Oryzias latipes: one gene and its partners. The protein of the gene in region 3 purifies or fractionates together with the protein of the main gene of each other region. This does not show direct contact. Links are inferred from orthologs where the notes say so. Each region holds a gene or a part of one and is shown on either strand. Other genes may lie near its edges.

The links.
Region 1: the proteins of mphosph6 (region 3) and exosc2 purify together in Homo sapiens (affinity purification with mass spectrometry; 8 studies listed by BioGRID and IntAct, with this or other methods). This does not show direct contact. The link is inferred for Oryzias latipes from reciprocal best matches to the Homo sapiens genes MPHOSPH6 and EXOSC2.
Region 2: the proteins of mphosph6 (region 3) and exosc7 purify together in Homo sapiens (affinity purification with mass spectrometry; 4 studies listed by BioGRID and IntAct, counting the BioPlex papers as one, with this or other methods). This does not show direct contact. The link is inferred for Oryzias latipes from reciprocal best matches to the Homo sapiens genes MPHOSPH6 and EXOSC7.

Annotation. Positions count from the first base shown.
Region 1 is NC_019870.2:12,830,552-12,834,303, reverse strand, and holds the start of exosc2 (exosome complex component RRP4), read left to right. Parts: upstream 1-1,448; 5' UTR 1,449-1,687; coding exon 1,688-1,809; intron 1,810-2,008; coding exon 2,009-2,110; intron 2,111-2,237; coding exon 2,238-2,283; intron 2,284-2,408; coding exon 2,409-2,498; intron 2,499-2,588; coding exon 2,589-2,654; intron 2,655-2,747; coding exon 2,748-2,816; intron 2,817-3,752. Other genes in the region: ric1 (RAB6A-GEF complex partner protein 1), read right to left, coding at 348-488. UniProt on the Homo sapiens protein: Non-catalytic component of the RNA exosome complex which has 3'->5' exoribonuclease activity and participates in a multitude of cellular RNA processing and degradation events.
Region 2 is NC_019869.2:5,728,084-5,731,835, reverse strand, and holds the start of exosc7 (exosome complex component RRP42), read left to right. Parts: upstream 1-1,148; 5' UTR 1,149-1,230; coding exon 1,231-1,287; intron 1,288-1,380; coding exon 1,381-1,482; intron 1,483-1,554; coding exon 1,555-1,649; intron 1,650-2,330; coding exon 2,331-2,496; intron 2,497-3,567; coding exon 3,568-3,638; intron 3,639-3,717; coding exon 3,718-3,752. UniProt on the Homo sapiens protein: Non-catalytic component of the RNA exosome complex which has 3'->5' exoribonuclease activity and participates in a multitude of cellular RNA processing and degradation events.
Region 3 is NC_019864.2:5,685,349-5,689,100, forward strand, and holds the start of mphosph6 (M-phase phosphoprotein 6), read left to right. Parts: upstream 1-1,104; 5' UTR 1,105-1,289; coding exon 1,290-1,337; intron 1,338-1,378; exon of another isoform or gene 1,379-1,620; intron 1,621-1,728; exon of another isoform or gene 1,729-1,779; coding exon 1,780-1,892; intron 1,893-1,979; coding exon 1,980-2,070; intron 2,071-2,165; coding exon 2,166-2,263; intron 2,264-3,752. UniProt on the Homo sapiens protein: RNA-binding protein that associates with the RNA exosome complex. Involved in the 3'-processing of the 7S pre-RNA to the mature 5.8S rRNA and play a role in recruiting the RNA exosome complex to pre-rRNA; this function may include C1D.

The DNA of each region.
Region 1 (3,752 bases), on a different chromosome or scaffold from region 3:
ACATAGCTCTGCTGGCTGTGCGTAATAACCCCACGTGATGTGGCCTACTCAAAGAGTATTGACGTGTAACAGTCGTCAGCTGTCAGCGTCACGATAGATGGACAGGTATTTGCCGACACACCTGGGGAAACCGAAACACGCTTCGGCTTGTCGTAAAGTTTGACCATCAGGTCGTAAAGAGACAAACTTAAAACAAAATCATCAAAAGACCCCTACACAGAGTCACTATTTTAATAAAGATCGTACAGTGACTGCATAAACTAAAGAAACTAAATGAACCTCCCCTGATTGTGTTCGTGCAGGGACAGCTGGAGCAGCGCGTGCGTTCACTTCACTTCACGACTTACCCGGCTGAACCAGATGCTGATCTGGGTTTCTGACACCAGGGCGAAGTAAAACCTCTGAGAGCTGGGCTGGATCTGGAAAGGCTCCTCTTCGCTCCTCAGCGGACAAAGCAACCTCCGGGGCCAACCGGTTAGAAAATACATGACGGCGCTCTTTAGTTCGAGCAGGCAGCGCAGCAATCCAGATCCTCGGTAGTTGCCTCTACGGGCGACTCATAGTGCTTTCGTCGAGACAAAAACACTACTAAAGAGCCCGGTGATGGCGCTGGGCAGGTTTAATCCACAGATTCCATACAGAAATACCAAAGCAGCCGACTGAGCTCCACGGCTAGCCCCGGGCTAGCATTGGATTTTCAAACTTAAAGCTAGCGAGCGGTGCGCGGTGTCCCCGAAAACAAAAGCGGCGAGGCCCGTCGCGACACCGTGCAACGCTAAATTGTGCCCGCTGTACCAGTATGCTGGCCAATCCGCTTTGCTCCCCGAGCTTTGTCAGTTGTTACGCTGTCTGGACCAGTGGTGTTCATTAAGAGATAAGCGTCCAGTTTTTACTCCACTGAGCCTCACTGTCGCCATCTTTACAAAGAGTCTATCCATCTTAACGCTGATTGGTCAGCCGCACGAAATTTGCTTAATGTTGACATCCAACGTCACCACTCTGTTATGTGACAATGGCTGCTGCGTGACACGAGGGTGACACCTAGTGGTCAAGTGAGAAGACATCCAGAAAGAATGTATTGTCATGGAGTTTCATTAATTTCTTTAATGAAAAAAAGAAAGAATAGAAATATGGAGTCCCATACTGTTCATAATTAAATAAATAAATATTTAATTAAATAAATAAATATGACCTCATGCAAATAGCAATGTGAGCAACATGATAAAGTTACAGTATACGAAAAAAGAAACAGAACTCAGCTGATTTCTTTTTATCGAAGACCAAATGTGACATTAATGGACAATAATTTGGTGCCAAACTGCATGAAAAAGAACGGAATTTTTTTCTAATTTGGAATAAAAAATAAATATTTGTGAGGATGGATATTATTTCAAGATGTGCTGCACAAGATACACTGTAGTAGTAACTCCATACCACAAGGAGGTGCTAATGTAGCTATAACACGCTTTTAAGACGCCAAAGAAGCAAGTGGAGGAAAGTTTTGTGTTAGCATAATATGCTGTTTGGTTGGCATTTATTACAAGTTTATAGGGTAATCATTTGTTAATTTAAAAACAAAAACAAAGATTCAATAACTACGTACACCATTTTTTTTTGCATTTTTAAACTTAAATCTGACTTAAACGAGTGTGAAAGAAGCCATAACCAGAAGAGTTGCGGTAACAGCATGGCTCTTGATATGAGATTACCGACTGTGAGGAAAACGGTGTCTCTGTCAGCTTCCGCTTTCGACCGAAAGGATCTCGTTGTTCCCGGAGACATCATCACTTCGGACACAGGTTTTATGAGGTAGGTTCTGCTTGCGTTTTGGAACACGTGTTTGATACCACGCTGATGTAGTACGGTAAGCTACATGCTAAAAAGAAACTCAGAACACACCAGAACTTATTTAGATGTGTCTTTGATCTGATGGAATACTGATGAAGGATAAGAAATTACATCTTTACATGATTTTAATAAACCATAACTACAATTTGTCGTTTTCTAGGGGGCATGGCACTTATGTTGATGAAGAAAAGCTGACAGCTTCAGTTGCTGGAGAGGTGCAGAGGGTGGACAAACTCATCTGTGTCAGACCACTGAAGACCAGGTGAGTGTGAAGGACAAAAATCTTCAATGTTTATGAACAATAGAATTGGTTGGTGGATTGACCCATTCAGATCGGACTAGCCCCACTTTTGCAAACATTCTTTAAGATCATTTGTGCGTCATTTTAGATTTAATGGCGAGGTTGGAGACGTTGTGGTCGGCAGAATTACAGAGGTGAGTTATTCCAACTGTTCTCTAAAAAGGCAAAACGAGATAACAATTTTTTTTGTTGTTGGATTCATTGTATCTGTTTTTGCTAATAATCTTTTCAATCTGTTTGATTTGATGGTTATATACAGGTGCAGCAGAAACGTTGGAAGGTGGAAACCAATTCCAGACTGGACTCTGTCCTCTTGCTGTCATCAGTAAACTTGCCTGGAGGAGAGCTGGTGAGACAGAACTGTGTTGTTTAACGAGAGAGAAGCGTTACAGGATGAGTTGAACTGCATGCTCTTTTTTGTTGTTGTTTTGTTATACAGAGGAGGAGATCAGCAGAAGATGAGCTGACCATGAGAGAATATCTTCAGGAGGGTGATCTCATAAGTGTACAGAGGATTTTCTAGTCTTTTTGCCAACATTTCCCCCTCATAGTTTTTGTCACTAAAGACTACTTTGCTGTATTTTCTCACTGTTTTTAGGCAGAAGTGCAGTCTGTTTTTTCAGATGGAGCCTTGTCATTACATACTCGCAGTTTAAAATATGGAAAAGTAAGTGCACAGTGTTACTATGTTGATATCTCCTTTTGGTAAATTTTACAGAGCTGTTTCCCTGTTGTTGTTATACATGTTGAATAAATTTGTGTTTCTGGCCATGTTCACACTGCAGGCTGAATCCAATTTTTCTGCCCCTATGCGACCTGTGTCTGATCTTTTTATGACAGTCTGAGCGACACAGATCAGATCTTTTCAAATGCGACCTCCGTCTGAATGGCCAAGCCACATGTATCCGACCCGTAAGTCATTATTCTGCGTTGAAGTAGGCGGGAACAAGAACATGAACATCAACCATGCCGGACGATGCTGGTGAGACCAGTCATTGGAAGGCAAGCAAGGTCACCGATTGGATTAAAATTTGGGGTGACAGCTCTATTCAGGCCAAACTCGAGGGCTCTTATCGCAACCGGGCGGTTTTTTGAAAAAAATTCCAGCGAAATGGCCGAGCGTGGGGTTGAACCTTCCTGGCAATTACTTTTTTTTCCCCTTTCTGACCGTGGTCAGAAGCGCGGGGGACCGAAGGCGGATCCTCCTTTGGGCGTTCATTTCCCCGTTCGGACCCTCAGATTCTCTAGAGCAGTTTAATAAAGAGTCAATAGCAGCCTTTTTTTATTATCGTTGTCCTTCCTCCGTAACACACAACATGAATGCGCACAGCGCAGTAGGGAATGCTGCGCTGCACGTGCTCTCTCCTCTCTCTTACACACACACACACGTGCTCGCGCGGCCCCAGCACATACACATCCCCATTCCACCACAGTGGGTACAGACGATCCTGGCTCCAATGCCTTCTTAAAATGAGAAGATTGTAATTGTGCTGGCTCCATCTTGAAAATAAATGTAAACTGCAAAAAGAGCTCCGCTGTTGACAACACTGTAGTTGACATCCATTGCTAACGTTAGCTACTTCCGCAAACAACGAGTGATGTC
Region 2 (3,752 bases), on a different chromosome or scaffold from region 3:
TTCTTCCATTTAAAATCATTTTATTTTTTTTACAAGTACTTCCAAAAAACACCCAAATAATCATATTTCTGACAATACATACTACAATACAATGCAATCAAACCACAATTTACAGATCTGAAAATTAATGATATTCCCCTAAAAGATGAAAAAAAAATGCACCAATAAATTAGTAACTCTAACCTTTAAACAAATAACTTTCTGCAACTTTAGTATAAACAATAGACGGGACTTAGAAACCACCCTAATGAACACATTTTTTTCTTTATACACAAAGTACCCACTTCCACCTAAAATGAAAGAAACGCATTTTAAAATAATATCTCAAATTTACCCTGTTGGAGATTTTTTTACATAAAAGATTCAAATTTCAATCGGAGCCATGCCTATTCTGTTAATCTGAAACTGAAACGTTAGAACATCTCTGTTACAGTTACAGATAAAAATATTTTGGACTGATATTCACAATTGGTTGTCACTCAAAGTTTTAAATATTCCCTTTTTTCCTTATCTGTTGTTATTTTCTATATGGAAAATATGGACCCAGGAATTTCTGATGTCATTAATGTTGTTATTATTTAATGCAAAAATTTCATTCATTTATGTAAATGGAAAACTACATGCCCTTTGTTTGGTATTTTTTGAATTACTTTTCTGATTATTATAAGTGTCTTAAATGCATTCCAAACAAAAACAAGAAAACTACAGTAATTTATCAAAATATATCAAACGTACTGTTATTTTGAATTGTTTTTTGCCTTGCCTTTATCATATTTTTTAAATTTTGTTTTGTTTTTTCAATATGCGCATTTATAACGATTGTTCACCCTAACTTGTTTTGTATATGTGCATTTATAAATATAAAAAAATCTGAATATAATTAAATAGAAATATATTTTAAAACTGTCTATATACTCTTTATGATATGGACAAACATAGCACAAGCATCTACATTCCTACACAGAAGAAAAAAAAGATTACTCTCAAAAATGTATTATTATTGTCATTATTTTATTATTATTATTGTTTTTGTATTATTATTATTATTATTATTATTATTATTATTATTATTATTATTATTATTATTATTATTATTATTATTAAATTTTGTGATGTTGAACAGCAGCTCCCACTTCTTCCAGGTGGTGGCGACATAGTTCCTTCATCGAGAAAACTGTAGAAGAAGAGCCTCCCGGCACCGTTTCTTCTTCTTCTGTTTGTTGAGTTAACATGGCAACAGTTAAAGTTAGCGAGGCTGAAAAGGTGTACATTCTACACGGAATAAGAGTGAGTTGTTCTAGAAATGTGTGCTCTATTAAGCTAAATGTCTGTGAAGTTGTCACACCAACCTAAAGATGTGGATGTTTGTATTCTCCTCAGGATGATTTACGTGTGGATGGAAGAAGCTGTGAGGACTACCGACACATGGAAGTGGAGACGGATGTGGTCTCAAACACTGATGGATCTGCCAGAGTCTCCCTGGTAAAATCAACATTTACGTGTGAAAGATCCGCAGAAACAGTGTCTTTATTTTCCTTCCATCGTGCTTCTCAGGGACACACCGCCGTCCTGGTTGGGATTAAAGCAGAAATAGGAAAACCAAGACCACTGGTTCCAGATGAAGGATACCTGGAGTTCTTTGTTGATTGGTAGGTTTAGTGTGCATTTAAAGCAGGTTTGGACATCAAAATGTGCACAATTTGACATTTGACAGAATTGTATTGCATCAAAACAGTAAAGAAAAACATTGAATAGCCTCTATAGTTTATTAAAATGAATAATGTTTGCATTTTTGGCTTGATATAAATATTAGAAATACCTGAACCCTAAACCGTTACATATTTGATTTCTTTTTGGCTAAGTTGGGAAGTCTCTCTTGATGTTTTTGTTGAGATCATTACATGTTCTAAAGCTTATAATGCATGTTTAAATATTTTTTGTGTTTGTTTTTGAAGTTTGAAGGATGTCTTTGTCCTGCGAAGCATTTTAAAGTAATGAGGATGTTTTAAAAATAAAGTTTATTTTGGATATCTGTTTTTGTTTAAATCATCTTGCAGGATAATAAACTCCTAAACTAATAACTGCTGGGATTAACTGTTGCACCATTGACTCAGTTTTCCCCACTTCTCTCCGCTTTCTTCTGATTCTGTAACTCCTCATTCCGATTGGCTGAACTCACCTGATCCAGGTATTCAGCTTTAAGACGTAGAGGGTGTTCATGAGGACCATGCCGGGCTGTTCTGGTTTAAGAATCGGAACCAAACTGAGTTATTGTCAATGTTTGATGTTTTTTTTTGATTCCCTGACATTTTTTTCCCCAACACCCCCAGCTCTGCCAACGCCACCCCCGAGTTTGAAGGCAGAGGAGGTGAGGAGCTAGGGATCGAGCTGAGCAACACTCTCTACAGAGTCTTCAACAACAAGAACAGCATAGACCTGAAGGGCCTCTGCATCAGTGCTGGGGAGCACTGCTGGGTTCTCTATGTAGATGTCCTGGTGAGTCTCTTTAACATAAAAATATAAACACAACATAAAAATGTTAAAAATAAAACAATAAACACAACAACAATAGACGTAAATTCAGTAATAATGCTAAATCTTATGATTTTTAAGTTTTTTAGAATTTTGGGTAAAAAATTGGGTTAAAAAAACAGGTTGAAGTAGACATTTACATGTTTTTTGTTTGTTTAGGAAAAACTTGTTGCTGCATTTAGATTTTTTTTTTAAATAAAGTTAAGCAAGTGTTTTGTTTACCTTGTATGCATTAAAAATGAAATGCTGAAGTATGTCTGCTGTGCTGCTGAGGGGTAGCAGATGGGGTCAAATCAGGTTAAAATTAAGAAAAAATAAGGTTGTAAACTTGAAAAAAGAAAAAGAAGAATGTTTTGAAATGGTGTTAAACTTGAAATTATACATTCTAAACTTGAAGAAATACAGAAAATTGGATACAAAGATTGTAGATTTAAAACTTAAACTAAAAAAACTATAAACTTACAAATGTTACCAAATAAAAAATGATCTTCATTTGTAGCAGCTGCCGTTTTATATAGTGAAGTTTTGGTTTTTTCGTTTGTTTAACTAACAAAAACATACCAGTTTCTAATAAACATTAATTTTATTTCATTTTCACTGTAGGTTTATAGTTTTTTTATTCTAGTTTCATAATTATATGCTGTTGTTTTTTTTTCTTTCTAATTTTAAGCGTCATTTCTTCATAGTTGGGTAAAATAATTAAGAGACACTGATGTAACTCCATAGTAGCACTTCAACTTGTGAAAGTATCAAGAAATATGTATTTTATTTTATTTTTTGTTCCTTAAACCCCAAATAGTCATACCGGCCTGCAGTGGATGCAGTTTGTTTTTCATGGAGGAGGTTTGTCGGACTCAAGAAACACTAAATGAGTTGAAAGGCAGCTGATGTGTAATGAGGAAGTGAGGTCTACTTAGTCAGTCAGCCAGTTAGAAGAAATGCGGCCTGAGAAGGGGCGGAGCTTCACCTCAAAGGCCTCAAATGATTTGTAAAAACCACCACTTCATAAAGGCGTTTGCATCGTCTTGTTTGCAGCTGCTGCAGTGTGACGGCAACCTGTACGACGCCATCTCTGTCGCCATCAAAGCGGCACTCTTCAACACAAAGTGTGTATCAGTTTTTCACATTTCGTCGTGTTTGGAGACGTTTTCAGCTCATCCTGTGCTCCCATCATTTCTCCCCCAGAATCCCTAGAGTCCACATGTCGTCGGACGATGAAG
Region 3 (3,752 bases):
ACAAACTTTCCATGTCTTTTACCCTGCAGTTCATCATCATTCCACTAGGGGCAGCAGAATGGCTTTTACTGTATTGCTTATTGCAAAATGGCCGCCTCTGTGACATATCCATAACACGTTTGGCAGGGAAGTTTAGCAAATGTTTATGGTGAAAATAACCCATCTATTGTTATTCATTTTCAAACGCTGGCGAGGCTCGCCTCCCTGGAAGCTTTTTCTCCGCCCTTACAGTCATCGCTCTGACCGTACTCTCTGTTACAACTGAGTCCTGCAGTCAGACATGACGCGAAGCGCTCCAGAGCCTCACCCGGAGTTTCTGCTCCCTATGTGAGCGCACAACAGTCAAATTCTGCAAATTTAACCTCAGAAACTGTGGGAAATGTGTCGAGTCAACTGAAAATGTGTCTTTAATACGGATCAGAGGAAAATCATATTTACTTAGTGTACGTTTTTCTATTTTATCACATTGACCAGTGAGGCCGAGCTTCACTTGCCTCATCTGATCACATGTCACTGTTGAAGTTGACATTTTTTGTACCACCTCTATGCTTTATTGTAAACTTAAGATGTTCCAAATAAGTCTGACGAAGGATACAGTTAGCATACTTCCTACACTACTAGGCCTATAGTAGATTTGCTCAATGCATATACAAGTATCTTACTAAAATAAACTTCAAGTGTACTATGGTACTTTTAACTAAAGGTTTTCTAGAGTTCCACGTCTCTCTTTTTAAGTCAAAACAGAAAAAAATAAAAATAAATTATTGACCTGTGTTTTATCTTTCGTCTTATGATATGACATGCTTATCTTTTAAATTAATTTTCAATTATGTTTTTACAAAATGTAGGCTACTTCGGTACAATCAGCGATTGTTGTAAAGCGACTTACAAATAAAGTTTTTGGAATGTTTGCCACGTGACCCGTTGGGTTTTGTTGACTGTCGTGTTTATTACTGTTTATCTATAATGTGTTGTGTTTATTTTGTTGTAAACTACACATCAAACGCATTTCCGTTGATTCACCTGTTCTTTAGCTTGCACTTCACTGTTCTGTGATCAAAAATTACCTGTAGGATAAATACATAACTTAAGGAAAAGCCTCGATTCCTCGGTGCTTGATTAATCAGGCCTGCCTGAATTGCGCATGCTCGACTTTTGACAACATGTCTTTTCCGGCGCGTGGGGCGTTTGTTCTGCTGCAGTAACCAAACCAACGACGTCCTACGGTTAGGTTGAATCAGTTAAGGTTAGTTTAGCGCGGATAGTCTGTTTGTGTTAACCGGAGAAAGATGGCTGCCGACGGAGTGAAACTCTCCAAGAATCTGCTGCGCATGAAGGTACATGCTAGCACCATTAGCTAGCTGCGGCGCGAGCCGCTAGCGTCGATTCATTTTGTTGGCTCCAGAGTGAGAGAAATGGACCAGAACTGATGTTCGTGTCCATAATTCTGCCTCTTGTTCTTCATCCTTCGGCAGGGGCCTGTCTTATCTCCATTCAAGGATCTTTCTGGTTGAATTTGTCAGAGCTGGGCATAGTTTGGGGCTTGACTGTTTTGGTTGGTCTGCTTTCGACTGAAAGGTGGTCATAACTAGTTAATAGGTTAAGAATGACGAACCACAGGTGGGTTAGATTTAGTTTGGTGCTCGGTTTCACATAGTTGCATTGTAAACCTTTAAGACACGTGATCACCTGGGTGGACTGACTCTCGTGAGGTATACTGTACTGCAGATGAGAGCGTGCACGTAGGCGTATGCATGAAAGTGTCATCTGTGGCTGCAGTTCATGCAGAGAGGGCTGGATGCAGAGACGAAGAAGCAGCTGGAGGAAGACGAGAGGAGGATCATCAGCGACGAGCATTGGTATCTGGACCTGCCCGAGCTCTGCACCAAAGAGTACGTGTCTGTGCTCGTGCACGCCTCGCCTGCAGTGGTGTGAACACCTGTAGGTGTGGATGATGGTGACCTCTGCTCCTTCATCAGGACTGTGCTGGTGGAGGAGGAGAGCTTCACTCCCTGTGAGGACTTGCAGTTTGGCCGGATCTCCTTCAGAGGCTTTAACCCAGAGGTTGAGGTGAGGTTCAACCTACAACCGTGTGCGTGCGCACGTGCGTGTGCATGCGCACGTGCGTGTGCATGTGTGCTCTGACCTGTCAGTTGTCCTCACAGAAACTGATGACCTTGTTGAATCCAAAAGATGAAGATGAAGAGGAGAAGGATGTGAGCTGCATGCAGACAGACATCACAGATGAGGAGATGGCTCTGAGGTACACTTCCTCTTCCTCCTGTCCTCCTCAGATGTTATTTGATAGGGTTGCTCTTTGCTCAACAGATCGGTTCCAGTTCTGGATCCAGAGCCTGACTGGTGCCAGGACTGGAACCGGGTCTAAAACGTCGACCCGCTTCATGTCGATCATATAAGCTTTGGGGGCGTGGCTACACAGCCGCAGGAAGAGAATGGAATCTGCTCTGTAGTGGTCTAAACTCTACTCCATCCTCGGGTAGTTAAGCTGATGATAAAGAACTCATTTGGCTCAATCCATCAAACACTTCATTTGTGGAGCGTCTTTCTTCAACGTGCTTAGAACACAAGGTGTTTGACATAAAAAACAAACAGGTTGAAATTATAAAAAGTCATAAAACCAGCAACAATCAAGAGGTGAACATAAGATGGTAGAAAACTGTGGCTACTAGTTATTGTTGAGAAGGCGCTCTATAAAGAGAGTAATAAAAGTACAAACGATTAACAATATAAGCCATGAAATACTTTAGACCCAAATAAATAATTGAATTAAATGAAGACGTTTTTGAGAATTTACATGAACATTTACAGTGAAACTCTCCACAGATGCAGAAACTCTCAGATCTTCAGGTTCCACAGATGAGGACCACGGTACTGAAATGAGGCCTCAATGTGGGTCCTGGTCCTCAGTTTTTCGTTTAGATAAGAGAGCAGAACCTGAGGATCTGAGAGTTGTGGAGGTTTTGGAAGGACCTAGATCTGATAAATAGGAAGGTCCCAATCCAAAAAGACATTTATAAACTAGAAGGAGAATCTTCAAATCATCCAGAGGCTGACAGGAAGCCAGGAGGGATGTGAGCTCTGAATTCTGGACGAGCTGGAATCTATTCATAGATTAAAAGAGCATCACAAAAGTCCCGTCTAGATATGATAAAAGGCAACATTGTTAAAGGAATACAAGCAGTCTTAGTTGTGTTTGATATGTGGATTTTAAAGTTAAGATCTTCCTACATTTATACCAGAGTTTTGAAGTGAGTGTGGCTTCAGGCCCAAGGATCAGTTTCTGTTTGGTCCTTGTTGAGTTTGAGAAAATTAGCTGTCGTCCATTCTATGACATCACTAATATATTTAAGAGGTTTGTCAATGGGATGTAGGCCACACTGGGAGAAGCTGTGGAAGTCTACATCCTAACGTCATGAAGTGTAGCTTAGTGACGTTACCCAGTGGGAGCCTCTACAAGTGAACCCTTTAACACTGGAGATGTTGCCAGTCACATCTAAATAACAGATTCTTTCAACTACCGTTACTCTTCAACCGTTTACGGCTTTTCACTGATATGCCAAACATTTTGCAAAGTGTTGAATATTCTGTTGATTTCTAAAATAGTTATTTTTACATTACAATTAAGTAATTCATCTTTGTCATGTGCTTTACTGATATTTCAAGATTCTTAATTCTGTCTGATAAAAGCTAGAAACCGGATATTGATAAATCATGTAATAAAATGGTTATGG